2 linked regions of the Elephas maximus indicus genome follow. The protein of the gene in region 2 binds, or shares a complex with, the protein of the main gene of each other region. Links are inferred from orthologs where the notes say so. Each region holds a gene or a part of one and is shown on either strand. Other genes may lie near its edges. The genes, in order: PELO and HBS1L.

What was found.
Region 1: HBS1L (region 2) and PELO share a complex: the UniProt entries of both Homo sapiens proteins name them as parts of the pelota-HBS1L complex. The link is inferred for Elephas maximus indicus from reciprocal best matches to the Homo sapiens genes HBS1L and PELO.

What each region holds. Positions count from the first base shown.
Region 1 is NC_064820.1:55,688,074-55,698,560, reverse strand, and holds the start of PELO (protein pelota homolog), read right to left. Parts: upstream 5,245-10,487; 5' UTR 3,714-5,244; coding exon 2,988-3,713; intron 2,652-2,987; coding exon 2,220-2,651; 3' UTR 1-2,219. UniProt on the Homo sapiens protein: Component of the Pelota-HBS1L complex, a complex that recognizes stalled ribosomes and triggers the No-Go Decay (NGD) pathway.
Region 2 is NC_064819.1:204,554,029-204,564,954, forward strand, and holds the start of HBS1L (HBS1-like protein), read right to left. Parts: upstream 4,439-10,926; 5' UTR 4,305-4,438; coding exon 4,262-4,304; intron 562-4,261; coding exon 496-561; intron 1-495. UniProt on the Homo sapiens protein: GTPase component of the Pelota-HBS1L complex, a complex that recognizes stalled ribosomes and triggers the No-Go Decay (NGD) pathway.

The sequences.
Region 1 (10,487 bases), on a different chromosome or scaffold from region 2:
ATATGATTTTAAAGAATATGGAAGTGTCTGTTCCGAACTACAGATAAAGATTTAGACTAGTTTAAAACCTTTCCTTGCCTGCAGGGCAGAGCAGGCCCAGTTAAATTTTTCACTTCTTAGGTTTCTTGGGCTGCTAGTGTTCCACTTACAGTACCTACTGCTGTCTGATCACTGGGAAACACAAGTTCCATCATGTTTCTTGGGATGCTAGTGTCCCGTTTATAGTATATGCTGCCGTCTGAAGGGGACATGTATAAAAAATAATTTGATCATCAAAGTGTTTAAAAGCTTATTAAAAACAATTCCCCAAATTGGTATTTAAAACAACAGATACCGAAACGAGAAGCAAAAGTTTACTTAGTATCTCTAAGGAGTCATCTTTAATCCTAGAGTTACAAACTGAATCACCACTTTCTTTATAAGACCTTGCCTAATCATTTTGCCAAGTGGGTGTTCGTAAAAGGTCAAGATGCAATTCCATTCCTCAGGCTCCCTCCTTGTCTCTTAGAAATGCACGAGAAAAAAAGGAGCATTTGAACTCCCAGGTACTTGCAGAAATTCCCCAATTACAGCAAAGTACTGCAGTACATGGGCACCTGGATGACATAGTTTGAGAACAGCTGCGAACCCACGCAGCAGCTCCATGGAAAAAAGGCCAGGCAAATCCTTTCCAGCAAGAGTATGGCTAAGAAAACCCTATGGAGCAGTTCTACTCTTAACATACAGCATTGAGTTGGAATCATCCCAATAGCAATGGGTTTGGGTTTTTTCATTTGTTTTGGTTTAACTGGAGTGCAAGTCAACTGCCACATATCAACGGCTGGCTGCTACTCAAACTTTCTGAAAACGTTTTCTCTAACCCCAAGATAGCATGTGGTGAAGTCCAATAAGAATGTGGAAGCACGAAGGCTAATGCCACATACAAATCCATGTCCCTCCCCCAGAAAAGAGTGTTTCAGTGGGGTCTGGATTAGGGGATACTTTTTGCCCTGGAAACCCTGTTGGTGTAGTAGTTAAGAGGTACGGCTGCTAGCCAGAAGGTCAGCAGTTCAAATCCACCAGGAGCTCCTTGAAAACCCTACAGGGCAGTTTTACTCTGTCCTTTAGGGTTGCTATGAGTCAGAGTTTGAGTCAAGAGTCAACTCAATGGCAACGGGTTTGGTTTTTTTGTTTCTTTTCAGCTTTGCCCACCAAGTAGCCACATGACCAGCAAGTCACACCTCACGTCTCATTTTAAAAATGAAGATACCTCAACTGGATTATCTTGTGAATCTCTGGCAGGTCAAAAGTCCATGATCTAAGAATAGCTGATTAAGTGGCCCTCTAAAGCAAACATGATTAATTCTAACAACAAAACAGGAGTTTACTTTTAACATGATTGGTTTAATACGTCTTTTAAGGAAAATTCCATTTTAAATGTGTGCAAGAAAAGTCTCCTGGGTTAGGTCTCTGAGCATTATTCAGCCTACCACACAACATTTCTAATTATTTTTAATGTATCTCAACGTGGTTCCCAAACATAATTAAAGCTATATTTACCTGTGAGTTGATTCAAATATTAATTTTAAATAGCATTATTAAAGTATATTTCCAAGGAATACTTTAAGCTTGTACTTTTAAATTACTCAAATTATTCAGTTTTCAATAACTTATAATTAGTAAAACCACTTCAGATTAAAAAAAAAAGTCTCCTAATGGTTTGGCTATAGCTTAAAATAGAAATAAATTTAAATCCTAAAAAAAAAATGGAGTATGCACAGAGGTAGGGGCAGGAAGAAGCATCAAATGCAGTTCGAGAACACCATGAAGAATTAACCTAAGCATAATGTAAACTGCGGATAATGAGGTAAAAACTTTTCCTACGGAAAACTATTTCAAAGTACACAGCATGGGGTTTTATGATATCTCCCAAACAATACATAGGTATTATTATTATTGGACACACAGAACTTTTCTAAGTACTGCAAATAACTGATCATTCCTATACAATGTTTTCCCAATTAATAATGATGGTAATACACAGAGATTTCTTTCACAATTTATTTTTTTTAGTTTGAATAAATGTCCTGCTAACCAAAAAATAAGCTTGTGACCTAGTGTGATCAAATACATCAGAGATCCCTCTATGAGTCAAAAAGTGTCACAAGGATGCTAAGGAAACATATAGCAGAAGTGAGGCAGTGAGGCAATAAGGTTGTCTCAATTACATATTCCAATCATTAATCCTCTTCAGAACTAGAATCATCCTCTTGGTCAGAGAGTTCAGGGACAGGGAAGCGGAGAATGGCAGCCACTCCAGTCAACTGACTGAGCTGTTCCCCAGATACATGAAGACTGGAGAAGATCCTAACCGTGCCTGCATTTTCTTTCACACTGTCCACCAGCCTCACGTACCGGCTCCGTGTGGCTATGTCCTGGTGTCTGAAGAGCTCATCGCTGATGAGCAACGTGTCAATTGCCATGGCCTCGTTGGCCTTCTCCACCTGCTTAAGTCCATAAAAAGCTCGGTCAGGTTCATGCTGTAACATTTTATAGAAGTCATCCAAGGCTTTTACTTCCCCAGCAGCTTTAGTGTCTGAAAGGCGGCTAGCTACAGTAGGGTCACAAAGGGCCTCTTTCAGGGAGTATTTGTGTCCAGAGGAGGCATGTACCTAGAATCACAATTACAAAAGTTAGACAAGAAGTCTCTTAGGGCATCCATCCATCATCAGCCACAATGACCTAAGACCGAAAGCACTAATAAGACTTTATATATGTTTAAGAATTTCAGTAGAAGTTACTCTATACATTTGCTGGTATTAAGAGTTCTCTTTAAGAAAAAAACAAATCGTATTCTATTTACCCCATTTCATTAAATCATTTACAACTGCAACCCTAGCAAAGTAAAGCCTTTTCCTCCTTTACTTTTTCCACTGACAAAACTTCAGCAGGAGTTTATACCAGTCCCACTGCCCCTTCTTAATGATCCCTAGGTAAGACTGCTTTACCTGCAGGAATTTGGACCGGTTTTCCAGCAGCACTTTGTTGTCAGTCTTCACTGCTTGCTGAAACATGTAGTCGCAGAACTGCTCCCTCACAAAGCCTGGGCTGGCCACCAGGATGCACTTTACAATATCGAAGTGTATGTGGCGCTGGATGGCCTGGACCACCTGTTCATAGAACCGCTCCAAGGCCCGGTCATGCTGAGAGCAGTTGCCTTTCCGCTTCCTAGGGATGTTCACCTCCACCTTGGCCCGAGTTAAGGTCATGCTGGGAGTGACTAAGCAGATATGGGCGAGGCCTTCCTGCATGACCACAGCTGCCACATCAGCGCTCCAAGCCGGGTCGCAGGCCTGCTCAATGCGCTCTAGCACCACACTGTCCCACTGCTTCTTGGCTAGGGTGAACTGGCGGTTGGGCTCAAGCTCAATGGTGTGGTAAGCCCCCATCTTGACATACTCATTCTCTTGGATGTTGGTCCCTTTGACCCGAAGCTGGCAGGCTTGAGAGTCGAAGTCGATGGCCTCCACGCAGAGAGTGAGGGTCGTGCGGACTCGGTTGCTTCCCACGCTGCCCGTGGAGGACTCGGTCTGCACCTTTCGGATGGTGGAGGCGCGCAGGCTGTCGCCCACCTGCACTAGATTGTAGGTGTGCCACATGTCCTCGGGCTCCTCGGGGACCAGGGTCACCTGGCCCGCGTTGTCCTTCTCAATGTCCTTCCTCACGAGCTTCATGATCTTAGAAGGGGCTCACGGCCCGAACAAGAGTGGGACTCCACCAGGAAAGGGGCAGGGAAGGAGGGAGGGGGCGGGGCCCGGTTTCGCCGAGCAGTTGTCCGGCGGGAAGGAAGTATTCTAACTCCAACTCCTGCGGCCGAGGGGAGCACTTACTCTAGTAGCCCTTCATTTTCCAGTCTCGGAGCGCGCCGCGTCAATCGAACGCGAAAGAAGCTGTAGGGACACGGACTCTTTCGCGGCTCCAGCCGCCGGCACAGACCAAGCGGCTGATGCAACGAGAACGCATGCGCACCCTGCCTCCCGCCTCCCCCCCCACCGCTCCGCTCCCGGCGCAGGTTTTACGTCTCCCACGGGGAGGCGTGGCCGCAGTTTGCGCGTGCGCAAGCGCAGTAAACGTGGAGGTGTCCTGGCAAGTTAACCCCAGGGAAAGTACCGAATCTTTGGTGGCGAGTCTTATTATAACGCTAGACGTGCGTTTTCCACGTTGCCTCTTCCTTCCTCGTTTGTGAAGAATCTGAGGAGAATGTGAGTGTAAACATGTTTGTTTTCCACGTGGGTGCAGTTGCCACTCTATCTGATTTTAAAATGTATCTAAAAGTGAAAACTCTCAAAAAGTGCAGAATTACCCCAAAGGTCCAAACTAAGCTCGGTTTTTCTCCTGCCTTATTCGTACTCAGACGCTACACGCCTGTTGGAGCTGGTATTTGCATAATCGGTTTCTAAGAACGAGTGGTCAAGGTCCCTGGGCAACGAACCTGGCTGTTTTCGGAGCGTAGTTATCGTGTCCGTGCACGATCTGATTAAACCGGATGTCTAAGCACTGATCCCAGAGAGAGAAGAAACCATCTGTGGAATTTACCCCTGGGTGGACTTCTCAGTTTCTTGACCTGATGTCCTGGGAATCCCAGAATCCAAACTTGGCAGTCACAGCTTTCCGCAGCTCAGTAGCCTGTGAAATGTCTATGGTGGGGGTTGGTTTAGGGTGGTGGGGCAGAGAAACATCTTCCCTGTAATAGCTTAGGGCCCGAGCTTTACTGACCAACCTAAAATGAGCTGGGGATAGTGGGAAGTGGGGGGAAACTGATCTATTAACTGTGAACTACCCCAGTGTAATAGCTACAGAATTGATTTTAAAAATCAAAGTCTTGATTATTGAAACTCAAGTCTCAAATATCTACATCAGAGATTGTCAGGGGACACGTAGGTCCCCTCCAGGGCTATAGTTTAAATTAGAACTGCTATTTCCTTTGTGGCCTTTCTTCCCTCTCAGCTTTTTACTAAGCACGGAACTGATCGCATTTGAATGTGAATGTGACTTGCCTCTCCAAAGCACATTGCATCTGAACTGGTAGAATAATTGTGTGTGTGTGTGTGTGTGTGTGTGTGTGTGTGTAAGAGAGAGCGTGCGTGCGCGCCTGCACACATACACAGGGGAGCTGTGTGTGTTTATGTGTGTGTGTAGAGGAGGGGAAGTTTTTGGAGCTGGGGAGCAGAGGTTGCGGTGTTCCTGGATCACCTTTCTAAGTACAGTTCACCCCCCCCACCCCGCCCCATAGTCTGCCGAGAATTAAAACCACAGAATCATGGTGCTAGGAACACAACGCAACATAAAAGAAATCCATTGCTGTCCAGTTAATGTGTGCAGATTAGAACTGTGCTCTATAGGGTTTTCAAGGCTGTGGCCTTTGAGAAGCAGATTGCCAGGCCTTTCTTCCAAGGTGCCTCTGGGTGGGTCTTAACTGCCAAAGTTTTGGTTAGTAGTCCAGCACTTATCTGCTTGCACCACCAAGAACTCCTTCTAGGTGCACAGTAGGATCTTAATGAATACTAGATTTTTACTAAAGAGCTATCATTTATTGAGTACTTTCCAGTTACTTTCCTATGCTGTTTCTAATCCTCACCCAAAGGGAAATATTTGTTATCCTAAATTTATAAATGGAAGGAATGAATTATAGGAAAATTAAGATCACGTAACCTGCACTCAAATTCAGACCTACTTAATTGTAACTCCATACCCTCTCCCCTTTATACTACCACAATACTATATTATGAATGCCGTTATCCACTGTAATCAAAGACTTGTAGCTTGGGAAGTGACCTAGATGATTTAAAAAGGAATGATCACTTCTCTGCTCCTTCTTTACCTCTTAAAATCTTTGTAATATTGTTTTCCAGTTAGTTTTCCTTCTGTTCAGTCTAGGTCACCATTATAATCCTTGAGAAAAGTGTTAATATTCTACTTTAGAAAAATATACATATATTTCTACATTTAAAACCTGTGAAAACCCAACACTGACCCTTAATTCCTTTTATTTTTTTAATTATAAAGTAAACTGTTCTGGGCTCTCTTTTTTATGTACATCAGCGATTGAACATACTACACAATTTTTCATAAAAATACTCCTTGGTCTGAAACATCTACAATGGTTTACAACTTTTTTTTCCCCCAGTTACTTGAGCTTGTTGAATGATCAGATGTTCTCTCTGAGCTTTTGTGTTATGACTTAGTAATTCTAGACCAATCATTATACTTTTATTTTATTTTTGGTCCCCCTTCCCTATTAATGGAAGTCCAGACTCCCTGACATTCAAAGCTTCAATGATTCCTCCTTACAAGCTTTGTTTCCTACTCGTCCCCTTCAGAACACCAGCTGCTGTCAAGCTGAGTCCAACTCTTGGTGATCCCATGTGTGTCAGAGTAGCACTGTCCTTTATAGTGTTTCAGTGGCTAATTTTTCAGTAGTAGTTCGCCAGGCCTTTCTTCTGAGGCACTTCTGAGTGGACCCAAACTGCAAACGTTTGGTTAGCAGCCAAGTGTGTTACCTCTGTGCACCACCTAGGGACTCTACTTGTCCCCTCAAGGCACCCTGTATTCTACCATGGGAGTAGCCTTTAGTCCCCAGATGTCCTAGGAACTTTCTCCTTTGCTACCTTAGCTCACGTGTTCTCTCTAAAGTGTCACTTCCTCTCATCCCTGCTTCCATTCATCCTACCTGTCTTTAAGGGCCAGCTTAAATGTTATCTTTGACTTGGAACTCTGCATTGTATTAATTCAAACACATATATTTTATTTCTTATTGACCTCTGCACAGATATATCCTGGTATCCCCCCAGTGACCAATGCAGTGTCCTTTGCACATAGTAGGGACACATATGAATAATAAGCTAAGTCATCAGATGTAAAGAGCACCAGCGACATTGTCATCACAGACACTTCTTAAGGCATTGATGTCGTCATTGATTATAGTTAATTTAAGAATGATAGTTCAGAAAGTGGGGTCCCTCGGTGGCCCAAACTGTTAATACTCAGCAGTTAACTGCAAGGTTGGTGGTTTGAGTCCATCCAGAGGGGCACTGGAAGAAAGGCCTGGCAACCTCCTTCTGAAAAGTCAGCCACTGAAAACCCCAGGGAGCACAGTTTTGCTCTGACATACGTAGGGTTGCCATTAGTTGGAGTTGCCTTGATCGTTTAGTTTAAAAAGCAATTCCTCTTACTTAAAAACTGCTCTGGTTAAAGATATATTTTTATTCTTTATCAAAATAAGCAAAATCATAAGGAAAAGACCACGGTTTAACTCTGTTGCTTTAAATTCTATTTTATACTTATTGACTCTTTGAAGATAGAAAACTTTGTATCAGTAATTTAATTACACCTATTTTTTCCCTATAATATTGTATTTAAATCAATCTCTCCATGGAAAAAAAAAAAAGTGTCATTATCTCCAAAATTTTTCTTTTGTTGTTTTTGATACCCTTCCAGTGTCTCAAAAAGAGAACTGGGCTAGAAGTCAAGTGTCCTAGATTGTAGATCTTACCCTCTCAGTTGTTTTTACTGTAGCTTTTGGCAACACGCACTGTCTTTGAAACTCCGTTTCTTTTACTTAAGAATTAAGGGGATTGAATTTAATAATTAAAATTGTTTTAATTGTAAAAATTACAACAATGCTAATTTAAAAAAAAACCATTTTTGCACATTATCTTTTGCATTTGACTCTTTCTAAGGCCTGGTGACACAACAGTTAAGTGCTCGGCTGCTAAATGAAACATTGGCAATTTGAACCTACTCAGCATCTCCGCAGGAGAAAGACCTGGTGATCTGTTCCTGTAAAGATCACAGCCTATAAAAACCCTATGGGGCAGTTCTACTCTGTTACATGGGGTCACTGAGGCAAAAATCAACTCAAGGACACCTAATAACAACCTATCAATAAAAGGCCTTATTTAGTGGAAAAGACTGATTCCAAGTTTAATGACTGGGCAGCAAGAACCAGCAAAGTTACGGTCTTTTCTAGCTAGATTGTAGCAACTTTACATAAACTCCCTGACGGCTATAAACCTAACCTCCTTCATTCTAAATCACAAATAAGGTTAGTTGCCCTGCCTTTCATTTGACAAGCCTTATGTGATTCAAATGAGATCGATACCTTGTAAACAGTAGAGTCCTATAAAAATATAAGGTACTATGATAAATGTATAAGAATGCCTGGCTTGGAGCAGTCCAGAAATCTGCATCTGACAAAGCAATGGGCAAAGGGCTCGCTGATTCAGTAACTGATTCGGTCGAGAGTTAACTGATGGATAACCTGTTGGGTGCATGTGTTTATACTAGTACCTACTTTCCAAGAAAACTTTAGTCAGCCCTACTATACGAAGCAGTTCATGTGTCTCATTGGTAAAATGGATCAGAATTCTCCTCCTTCATATAGTAATAATATGTAAGACATGGTTTGCATGACAGCAGCAGGATTGTGGGCTCCTGAAGGATGAGAATCTTGTTTGAATCCTCGGCCCTTACCACCAGCACCAGTTGCTGTCAGGTCAGTTCTGACTCATGGCAACGCCATGTGTGTCCGAGTAGAATTGTGCTCCATAAGCTTTTCAGTGCCTGATTTTTTTTTTGTTTTGGAAATAGACTGTCAGACCTTTCTTCTGAGGTGCCTCTGGGTGGACTTGAACCTCCAACATTTTGGTTAGAAGCCAAGCGCATTATTCATTTGCACCTCCCAGGGACTCAGTCCTTAGCGCACACACACACACACACACACACACACACACACACAAAACTTTGCTGTCAAGTCCATTCAGACTCATAGTGACCCTAAAGGACAGAGTAGAACTGCCCCATAGGCATTCCAAGGAGTGGCTGGTGGATTTGAACTACTGACTTTTTGGTTAGCAGCCTAGCACTTTAGCCACTGTGTCACCAGGCTCCTTAGCACAGTGACCCTTAAGTAAAAAATCCCATTGCCATTGGGTAGATTCTGACTCACAGCGACCCTATAGGACAGAGTAGAATTGCCCCATAGGGTTTCCAAGGAGTGCCTGGTGGATTCGAACTCATGACCTTTTGGTTAGCAGCCAAACTCTTAACCACTGTGCCACCCTAGGATAGTAGGGGCTATATAAATGTTCTTGTTTCCATCTTCTATTTTGTTATAAGACAAATCTAATCATTTCATCCCTCTACAATGTCTTGGCAGCACTTCTGATCATTAGTTCTTTGCATGTCTGTTGCCTCTTCCAGATTGTGAGCCTCTTAAGAGCAGAGACCCCCTCTTATTTGCCTTTGTATTCCTGGAACCAACCACTTGTGCATAATTATGTTTGTTATGTGAAAGAATGAGTAGTAGTTCATTTTCTTTTAATTCAGTTTTTAACTTGTTTATCACTCACATCCTAAAATAGGAAATCATGGTGGTCTGCTTCAAAATGTTACTTAAAATTTAAAAAGAGATTACTCTTAAGGTAAGTTTTTATAAATCTGTTTTAAATTTTAAGACATCCATGCTTGGGTAAGAAAGTGATTATTTTAAACATATCTTACTGAGGAAGAGGTTTTTAAATGTTTTAAATTAAAAAAAGTTTTATTATACATAAATCGGACAGTGATCTTTACAGAATAAGTAGCCAGAACTCTGATCATGAATATCTGGTGATACATGCAGCCATTTATTTAGAAAGAATGTACTAGCTTCAGATTGTAGAAAGACTGCCACGTGACCTCCATAAACAAAGCTAAGTGGACAACTGGGATGAATATTCAGCTAACTCAGGCAAAGGGTAAAAAGGAAATTTTTTTTAAATAAGGAACTTTTTGTACTTAACTTACTATCTAAATTTCCGGTGACTAAAAATACTTGCAGTTGTCACAAAGCAATACAAAGCCTGCCATCAAATAAAATCCTGTCAACGGGTGTGTGTGTATGTGTGTGTGTGTGTGCGTATATTTCTGTGTACATATCCCTATACAGTACAGCATCATTTTGCCAGATACATTACAAGAAAATGCATTACACAAATATTTTTAAGGGTTGATCAATATCCATGTGTTTTCATACATTAGTATTTGGCCAACTGAAAGTCTAGTTAATACTAGGCTTTAAGATAAGAGGAAATTTTGATGAAGGGTAAGACAGTACACAATACTGGGGAAGTCAGCATAACTTGACCAACGCAAAGTCATAGAAGCTTCATAAATGCATCCAAACTCCCTGAGGGACCGAGTTACTGGGCTGAGGGCTGGGGATCATGGTCTTGGGGGACATCTAGCATAATTGGCATAACATAGTTTATAAAGAAAATGTTCTTTAGCCTACTTTTGTGAATAGTGTCTTGGGTCTTAAAAGCTTGTGAGCAGCCATCTAAGACATTACACTGGTCCCACCCTATCTGGAGCAAACGAGAATGAAGAAAACCAAAGACACAAGGGAAAGATTAGTCCAAAGGACTAATGGACCACAGCTACCACAGCCTCCACCAGACAAAGTCTAG
Region 2 (10,926 bases):
AAAAGAAGTCAAGGCTTCAGAAATTATATAAATAATTCTGCAATTATTTAAGAGAATAAAAAAAAACTCAGTTCCACAAAATTTCTGAGGGCCTACTATGTGTCAGATACCCCATTCTATATAAAATAAACTACTACCTGCCCCCAAAAGTTTTAGAATCTCATTAATGACTAAGTTAGCACATCAATATATTTTAAATTAACTGCATATTTAAAACCATGTTGCAAAGAATACCGGGAAAACCAGACTCTTCAGAGTTTTCTTCAAGTTATTTAAGGTTAAACAACTTAAAACTTTAAATTTTCTTTATGGGTAAATAATTTATTTTATACATCTTTAGAAATTAAAATATAATTATCTTTTTAATGTAACATACTATTACAGTCTCATGGAGCACTCTAGTGTTTTTATGAAACACTCCAGAATGACAATAATATTTACTTGACATTTTTAAATGCCCAAATCATGGAAATCGATTTATTAAAAATAATTCACCTGTTGATGGAGAAATACAATAATCATCTTCTACAGACTGGCCATAGAGATCATCATCTTCAAAATCTAAAAGTAGAAACAAGAGATAAATTCATTTATAAGTTCTTTTACATTTTTCGTTACTAATGAGAAGGCCTCTAAATTCTCTTCAAAATAAATTACTCATCAAAATTAAAGGGACCTGGAATAATCCAAATTTTTCCAAAATTTTTCCAAAAATTCGAAGAACTTTCCCTACATAATAGGCATTTCCTGACAATCTGTATTTATAAAGACATACATGGTTATTCACTTTTTAAACTAATTAGGTTTTACTAAGTTTTTTTAAGTTTTTACTCCATTGGGAAACATGAAGTAAATAATAGTAATAAATAATAATCCTACAGACCACATACTTGAACAGTCTTTCCAGTGCTGGCAAAAACCTCTAACAAGCCATCCATCCATCTTTTTCACCAAGTGCTATCTATAACCAAAAGTACTTTTTTCCATACAACAAACTAGCACTGGGTATGCACTCTGACCATGAAAGCAGTTTTTCTTCATATAAAGCTAGGTCTGTGATGCTCAACAGGTTTCAGTGGAGCTTCCAGACTACGACAGATTAGGAACAAAGGCATGGTGATCCACTTCCAAAAATCAGCCAAAAAAACTATGAATCAATAGTCTAAGCTCCTTGAGCATGGGGTTGCCACGAGCCGGGGGGCTGACTCAATGGCAGCTAACAATCACCACTATACAAACCAGCTCACCCCATATAGCCTTGTGCTCACTCTGCTCTAGACCAACTGCCTTGTTTCCTGTTGACTGAGGGCTCTTCCTTCCTTCTGGCCGTTCCTTCTCCTGTCACCTCTTTGCACAAGTTCTCCCTGACTACCCTAGGTGAAACAGCAAGCACCTCTCCCCTATCCCTCTACTGTCTAGCATACTCTTCCATTTTATTGTCTTCAAAGCACTACACCTATTTTGCTCCATGAATATATAAGCTCCTTCAGGGCAAGCCTGTCTAGCCAACCATACTCGACACATGTTTGGCATGTATTTATTTATTAAAATTAAAATATGTTTTATTTTTATAGATTTTAAAGAATCGAAGTAAAAACTTCACGAAGAACATAAATATACCGGCAAAAATATATTTACTCATTCATTCGACAAGCACTAGCAAGATGTCAGGGACTATTAGAGACACTTAGGGTTCAACAGTGAGCAATGGGCACATTTCCAGTCCTCTCCAAACCTGAACTTTAATGGGGAACACAGACAATTACAAAACCATATGAACAGTGCTTGACATGAGAAATACAGAGCAATTTGGGAGCATATACAACCAAACTAGTATTTAAAGTGCATGGCTAGGGAAGGATTTCCAGGAATATAATATCTAAACCAATTCTAAAAGGACAGAGCTTGTTAGTGTCTGAGGGTATATTCTGAGCAGCAGAAACACCATGTTCAAAGGCTGACACCAAATGCTATGGCAAAGAAAAATTAGATAAGTGCTACTATCAGATAAAAACATGTAACATTTAATAAACTATTACATCATAATCCTGAGTTAGAAAATAACAATTTATTAGCAAATAAATAATGGGCCATTCACAAAAAAATTGGGTATTAAACACAAGGATCTTTTTTTTACTAGGTCAGTTTGTTGATACAAAAATTGATCCGTATAAAAAGATTGAAAGAATGGTTTCCTAGGATCTTTATAAAATGGCTAATTTCTTCAACAAACTTTAGTATTTTAGTATTTACATGTAAAGCACTGAGCCAGCTACTGAAATAAATATAAAAGCATGGATTTTGCCTTCCTGGGGCTTTTAGATGAACAGCTGAAGCAGTCATGTAAAGTACTATCCAAAAAAAAACAAAGTGAGAGTTAAATAGGGAAACAACAGGTTTTGGAGCACAAAGGATTAATTCTGAATGATGATAATGTCCGGGTAGCTTAAATGAGTAATTTTATTTCTATTTCCTTAAACTTTCTTTAATGAAATTATATTACATTTGAAAAAATTTTAATTATTATTCTGAGTCCAAGAGAAAGCTTAACTGGGAAGAAGATAAATGAATTGGACCCTGAAGATGAGTACAACTTTTATACGCAAGAAAGGGGAGTAAACTTCCTACACTATAGAAACAGCTTGGTTATGATGTCACCATTTGTTTCAAAGAAAACATGACAACTTGACCTCAGGTGGCCAAGGTGAGAAGAGACTTATCACTCACTCCCTCAGGTGAAGCACCACCTCCTCCAGGAAGCCCTTCTTAACACAGAAATCCTGCTTAAGCCCCAAACCATTCTGAATTAGGTGTCCTCATTTTTTTTTTTTTTATTTACATAGCCCCATATCACTTTGTAATTTTATGCAGCAACTCTAACACTCTATTCATCTGTTACTTGTAATCTCCCCCATAAAACTACCCTCAAATACCTTACTGTCAGTCTCCAAAGCTTAGAAAACAGTGCCTGGACACTCGATTAATGTTGACTGAGGAAATATCTATTCAAGAAATGAATGGGTACAATTAGGCCTATTCACGTCTTCTATATAATTGCAAAAACATCTCGCAGTCTAAAGCTACTTCTCAGATAACTGTGGCCCACAGCAATACTTGGATTCAACCTTAAAAACTCCTCCATTCTGGGGTGAACACCAGGAACCTAATATGCATTACAGTCTCCAAATTCAGCAGCGTGTTAGCTGCCCTCCAGCACGGTTAGAAGATTGTGATGTTCCCCGATTAATCTACTGGGGTGCCAATAATAGCCATTAACATTGTTAAGTACTTAATGTTCTGTACTTTATGAAGCAATAGTTCTTTAACTAATCTTCCACATTCGTTCATATCTGTTAATATTTTTAGTTTGTAAGAGGCTTGGTAATGCCTATAATTATTCATGGTATAGAAAGAGACGTTATGTTGTAAAACTATTTTCAACTCCCTTTAAACTCCTAGAGTACACACATATACAGGTTTTTGTTGCTGTTGTTTTCCATTTTTTTAATCAAAAAGTCCGTTTCCATATCCTCTTTCTTCTAGTACTGTTTGTTTTCTTTTTTCATTTCAAAATACAATTAACATTGAGCATTACCGGCTAAGACCTGAGTATACACCTCAAGAGCATCTGATCGACTTGCTATTTGGGCCTTTTTAGTATGTATCTTTTCCACGGTCTCCGAACTTTCTAACCTAACTTCATTAAAAAAAAAAAAAATTTATACTTAATATAAATTAATCAGATAGCTCAAGCCAGGTTCTGCACCAAATATGTATGAACATACACAAAAGATTTACTATGTAAATCCAATACAATTACACCAGGCCAGCTGAAAGTAAACATTAAGTCAGTCGGTGTTTGTCCCTTTCATGGACATTTTTGAAAGAGTCGGAAGAGGGGAAATAGAGCCACGTGCGTGCCCGAACTGAGAGGAAAGGAACAATGGGAGGGAGAGGTGACAATGCTTGAGTGCATAAATATCACCGAATCCCAACCTCACGAAAAGTCCTTCCCCTATGACGCCGTCCTGCACCTCCCCCGGCCTAAATAAAATCAATCACAGAAGGCAGAAACGAGGACTTGTAACTACACCATATGCTGGTACTCTGACGTCCTGTTGTGTGCCTCCCTCCGCTGGGCTTCCCCCGACTTCCAGACTGGCACCACTGACGAGGAACTCACAGATCGAAACAGACGGTGACAGGCTGCGATCCCGGCTGGAACAGAAAAAAGGCGTCCCGGCACGGCTTTGCTACCTACCTTCATCGTAGTTATAGCCTCGGACATTCCGATGCCGGGCCATGGCGACAGAAGAGGCGTTGACAACAACCCCTTTCTAAACACCCCGCTCAGTTATTGATAAAGCGCCAACAGGGGCCTGCAGGCCACCTATGCGCCATCTTGGCTTCCGGCAGGCCTCTGCGGCGAGCGCTTGCGCACGCGCAGCGTCTTATCTGACGGCAACGTCTCAGGGTCATTGCCCACCTCCCTGGAGACGCATGCGCACTCACGGGCTTTAGTCAGGCGCCCCTCCTCCCAAGAGATAGAGGTGGAGTTTTGGGGTGATCACGACCACAGACAAGTTGGCTGACAGGGGTTGCTAAGGCGCGGAATTTCACTGATAGAACTTTTGTAGTCTGACCGAGTATTGAGAGCGTCATTCCCAGAATTGTGCTAGCTTCCAGATTATTTTCCAAATTTGGTTTCTGATAATCTAGTGAAAAAGCTGACTGTGCGCTCACCAGGAGCAGCGACCTTGTTTTGTGCAACTTTGGAGTCCTACTTAGGCAGATAAAAGGCATTCAACAAACTTGTGTAACTTTGGTATAAGAATTAGTACAAGCTTTAAAGAAGGAAAAGGGCTGTTTTTAACCGAGTTGTTTTTAGGTACCGTCAAATCATTCGGACTCATAGCAGCCCTATGTACAAAAACAAAACACTGCCAGGTCTTGCGCCACGCTCACAATCCTTGTTATGCTTGAGCCCATTGTTGCAGCCACTGTGTCAATCCATCTCCTTGAGGGTCTTCCTCTTTTTCACTGACCGTCTACTTTACCAAGCATGATGTCCTCCAGGGACTGGTCCCTCCTGATAACATCTCCAAAGTACACGCAACATAGTCTCTCCATCCTTGCCTCTAAGGAGCTTTATCGCTGTACTTCTTCCAAGACAGATTTGTTGATTCTTTTCGCAGTCCATGGCATATTCAATATTCCTCGCCAACACCGTAATTCAAAAACGTCAGTTCTCCTTCAGCCTCCTTTACTCTTTGTCCAGCTTTCACATGCAGATGAGGCAATTGAAAACACCATGGCTTGGGCCAAGTGTACTTTAGCCCTTAAGTGAAATGGATTGTTGTCCTTGTTGTTAGGTTCTGTGCAGACGGTTCTGACTCTTAGCGACCCCATGTACAACAGAACAAAACACTGCCCAGTCCTTCACCATCCTCACAATCGTTCATTTGCTTGAGCCCATTGTTGCAGTCACTGTGTCAATCCATCTTGTTGAGGGTCTTCCTCTTTTTCACTGGCCCTCTACTTTACCAAGCAAGATGTCCTTCTCCAGGGAATGGTCCCTCCAGATAACATGTCCAAAGTATGTGAGATGTAGTTTCCACATCTTGGCTACTAAGGAGCGTTCTGATTGGGTATATACGGTTAAACTGAGAGCCTGGTTATGATAGGTCACCACATTTTTGTGTGATTTATGGCTTCATGTATGAGCAATCCTGCATTAATAACTAGTAAACAACTCTCTGCCCCTAGCTATGTAAAAGATTTTCATCAGCTTCGTAAAGGCTTCAGTAAGGATTCATTGAACATACAAAACCCTGCATAACATGCTAAGGGTACTAAATATAGCTTTATAGATATAGCACTGGCCTTCCTGGTAATGATGAATGTTATCGATGCATAAATATATAACCTGAACATAAAGCAAATGATGCTATTCATATATCTAAAATCCAATCTAATAATCATACTGAATAAACTACTAAGAAAAAAAAGATTTAAAAGTTGATTCAACTTTTTATTATCCGCAACAGAAATAATAAGATAACACAAATTTAATATGTGTTCATAAGTGACTTGGAATGTAATTTGTACATGCACCTGAATGTTTCTGATCACTGAATGCTTTTTAAACAGTGTTGCTGTTTAATGTAGCTCCAGGACAAAATCTGATACAAAAATGGAGATAGTTGTTAGTTTTATAGGGCTTAAGTGTTTTCCTTATATTAAATTTTTAAATAATTTTTATATTGCAGCCTGTTTCTTCTTAAAATGGAGATAATGATAGTATATACCTCATAGATAGGGTTGTATCCTTTCACCATACTTATTCAACTTGTATGCTGAGCAAATAATCCCAGAAGCTGGACTATATGAAGGGGCATCAGGATCGAAGGTAGACTTATTAGCAACCTGTGTTATGCAGAAGACACAACCTTGCTTGCTGAAAGTGGAGAATACTTGAAGGACTTACTCATGAAGATCAAAGACCACAGCCTTCAGTATGGATTACGCCTCAACATATAGTACTAGAGCCCCGAATAAGGAAACATTACTTGTGCCTGAGGGATAGCTGTCTAATTTGCCTCTTGGATCTTCAATAATGTACTCCTTTAAAAGTCTAAATAATTGAGAGCTTCAGCTGCTTTTCAAGCAATAGGGCCTTCAATGACATCCTCACAAAGTGCTAGGGGTTTTATTCACTGACCTCAGAACTCTTTTAGGTACCATTGTAATAGTTTTGTATTGTAGACTGATGGAAAGTGCCATGACTTTGAAGTCACACAAACCTGGATTTCAGTCCCAGCTCTGCCACTTTCTGCCTGTTAACTTCTTTCAGTTCAAGTTCTAGATGTAAAAACAGATGTCTTCTCTTTTGAGAAAATTAAATGAAGTGATGCATGTAAAAGCAGCAGATGTTACACAACAGGTTCTCAATAAATGCTAGTTCATAACCCACCAATTGGAAACTTTATCTCTGTTTCTCCAGCACCCTAGTGTCTGGCACTTTGAATGCTTCCTGAATGATTTAATGAATAAAAGAAAAGAAATAAAGTGATGGGTCTCTTGCTATGGGATATTCAGCAAATGCCATAAACAACTGCACAAATAATGCATATATACAGAGATTTGTAACAAAAAATGATAAGTGAAAAAAGCATAATTAATTACTGAAAAATTTTCAACAGTATTATTGGGATTTAAGGAGCCCTGTTGGTCCAGAGATTAAAGCACTCCGGTGCTAACCAAAATGGTAGTTTAAACCCACCAGCTGCTCCAAAGAAGAAAGATGTGGCAGTCTGGTTCTGTAGAGATTCACAGCCTTGGAAATCTTATGGAGCAATCGTATTCTGTCCTATAGACTGCTATGAGTTGGAATTGACTCGTTGGCAGTGGGTTTGGTAATCCTTTTTATTGGGGTTTAACTGACAAACACTAAAGTGGATTCAGAAGAGGACATGGAATGAGGGATACCTATCATTGATGATGTCAGATGAATCTTGGCTGAAAACAGAATATAAGAAAGATGTTTACTTGCGTTTTGTTGTATGTGTCTGGATTATAACAAATTATGGATGACACTGTAAAGAGTGGGAATTCTAAAACACTTAAATGTGCTCATGAAGATTCCATACATAGACCAAGAGGCAGTCATTCGAACAAAACAAGGGATACTGCATGGTTTAAAATCATGAAAGCCGTGCATCAGGGTTGTAGCTTTCATTATACTTATTCAATCTGTATGCTGGGCAAATAATCTGAGAAGCTGGACTACATGAAGAAGAATGCAGTATCTGGGTTGGAGGAAGACTTAGTAACAATCTGCAATATGCAGATGACACAACCTTGCTTGCTGAAAGTGAAGAGGACTTGAAGCATTACTGATGAAGATCAAAGACTACAGCATTCAGCATGGATTATACCTCAGTGTAAAGAAAACAAAAATTCTCAAAATTGAACCAATAAGCAGTATTATGATAAACGGAGAAAACACTGAAGTCATCAAGGATTTCATTTTACTTGGTTCCACAATTAACGCCCATGGAAGCAGCGGTCAAGAAATCAAACAGCGACCTACATAAATGGAAAAACATACCATGCTCATGGATAGGTACACTTAAAAAAAAAAAAAAAAACCCAGTGTCGTCTAGTTAGTTAGTTAAGTTAGGTACACTTAACACTGTGAAAATGTCAATATCACTCAAACCAATCAACAAATACACTGTAATCCTGACCCAAATACCAACGGCATTCTTTAAAGAGATGGAAAAACTAATCATTAATTTTATATGGAAAGGGAAGAGGCCCTGAATAAGTAAAAGCACTATTGATGAAGAAGAATAAAGTAGGAGGACTCATACTGCCTAGCCTCAGAAACTACTATACAACTACCGTAGTCAGTACAGCCTGGTTCTGGTACAACAACAGGCACATTGACCAACGGAACAGAGTTGAGAACCCAAATGTAAATCCAACCACCTATGGTTACCTGATGGACAAAGGCCCAAAGTCTGTCAAATGGGGAAAAGACAGTCATTTTAACAAATGTTGCTGGCAAAACTGAATGTCTATCTGCAACAAAATGATACAGGACCTGTACCTCACACCATACACAAAAACTAATTCAAACTGGATCAAAGACCTAAATATAAAATCAAAAACTATAAAGATCATAGAAGAAAAAATAGGGTCAAAGCTAGAAGCCCTAATATACAGCATTAACAGAATACGAATCATAACTAACACACAAACACTAGAAGATAAGCTAGATAATTGGGGTCCTCTAAAAATTAAACACTTATGTTCATCAAAAGACTTCACTGAAAGTAAAAAGAGAATCTACAGACTGGGAACAAAAATTTGGCTATGACAAATCCAACCAAGTTCTAATCTCTAAAATCTACAGGAAAATCCAACAGCTCTACAACAAGAAGACAAATAATCCAACTAAAAAAAATCAACAAAGGATATGAAAGAACACTTCACCAAAGAAGATGTTCCAGCTAAACAGATAAATGAAGAAATGCTTGTGATCACTAGCCATTAGAGAAATGCAAATCAAAAACACAATGAGATACCATCTCATCAGACATTACTGGCATAAATCAAAAAACAGAAAATAACAAATGTTCAAGAGGCTGCAGGGAGATTGGAACTCTTATGCACTGCTGGTGGGAATGCAAAATAATAACAATCATTTTGGAAAACAATATGGCACTTTCTTAAAAACATGGAAATAGAAATACCAATACGATTCAGCAATCCCACTCCTAGGAATATATCCTAAAGAAATATGAGCCATCACATGAATAGACATATGCACATCCATGATCATTGCAGTATTGTTCACAAAAGCAAAAAGATGAAAACAACCTAGGTGCCCATCAACAGATGAATGGATAAACAAACTATACTGCATACGCACAACGGAATAATATCCAATGATAAAGAAGCATCTCACAACATGGATGAATCTGTAGGGCATTACGCTGATTGAAATAAGTCAAACACAAAAGGACAAATATTGAATGAGACCACTACTATAAAAATTCATGAAAATATTTTAGCCCAAAAAGAAACCATCTTTGATGGTTACGAGGGAGCGGAGAGGTAGGGATGGAAAAACACTAAATAGACAATAGATAAGGGATAACTTTGGTGAAGGGTAAGACAGTAGACAATACTGGGGAAGCCAGCACAACTTGTCCAAGCCAAGGTCATGGAAGCACCATAGACACAACCAAACTCCCTGAGGGACTGAATTACTGGGCTGAGAACTGTGAGGACCATGATCTCAGGGAACATCTAGCTCAACTAGCAAAACATAGTTTATAAAGAAGATGTTCTACATTCTATTTCGGTGAGTAGCATCTGGGGTCTTAAAAGTTTGTGAGTGGCCATCTAAGATACTCCACTTGTCTCACCCCATCTGGAGCAAGGGAGAATGGAGAAAACCAAAGACACAAGGGAAAGATTAGTCCAAAGAACTAATAGACCACAAGTACCACAGCCTCCACCAGACTGAGTCCAGCACAACTAAATGGTGCTTGACTACTGCCACAGACTGCTCTGACAGGGATCACAATAGAGGGTCCTGAGCAGAGCTGGAGAGAAATGTAGAACAAAATTCTAACTCATAAAGAAAAAAAAGACAGGAACTGGAGAAATCTCGGGAGTATAGTCTCCAGACACCTTATAGCTCAGTAATGAAGTCACTCCTGAGGTTCACCCTTCAGCTGAAGATTAGACAGGCCCATAAAACAAAACTGGACTAAATGGGCACACCAGCTCAGAGGCAAGGATGATAAGGCAGGAAGAGACAGGAAAGCTGGTAATGGGGAATCCAAGGTCGAGAAGGGGAGAGTGTTGCCATGCTGTGGGGTTGGCAACCAATGTCACAAAATAATATGTATTAATTGTGTAATGAAAAACTAGTTTGCTCCGTAAACCTTCACCTACAGTACAATTAAAAAAAAAAAAAAAAGAAATCCAACAACAAAATTAAAAAAATCTGTTGCAGAAAACCTCCTTGAATTGTTAAAAAGCAAAGATGTCACACTGAGGACTAAGATACACCTGACCCAAGCCATGGTATTTTCAATCCCCGATACGTATGTGAAAGCTGGACAATGAATAAGGAAGATCGAAGAAGAATTGATGTCTTTGAATTATGGTGTTGGAGAAGAATATTGAATATACTGTGGACTGCCAGAAGAACGAACAAATCTGTCTTGGATGAAGTACAGCCAGAAGCCTCCTTAAAAAGCAAGGATAAAGAGACTTTATCTCACTTCCTTTGGACATGTTATCAGGAGGGACCAATCCCTGGAGAAGGACACCATGCTTGGTAAAGTAGAAGATCAGCGAAAAAGAGGAAGATTCAGTGAGAGGGATTGACACAGTGGCAGCAAC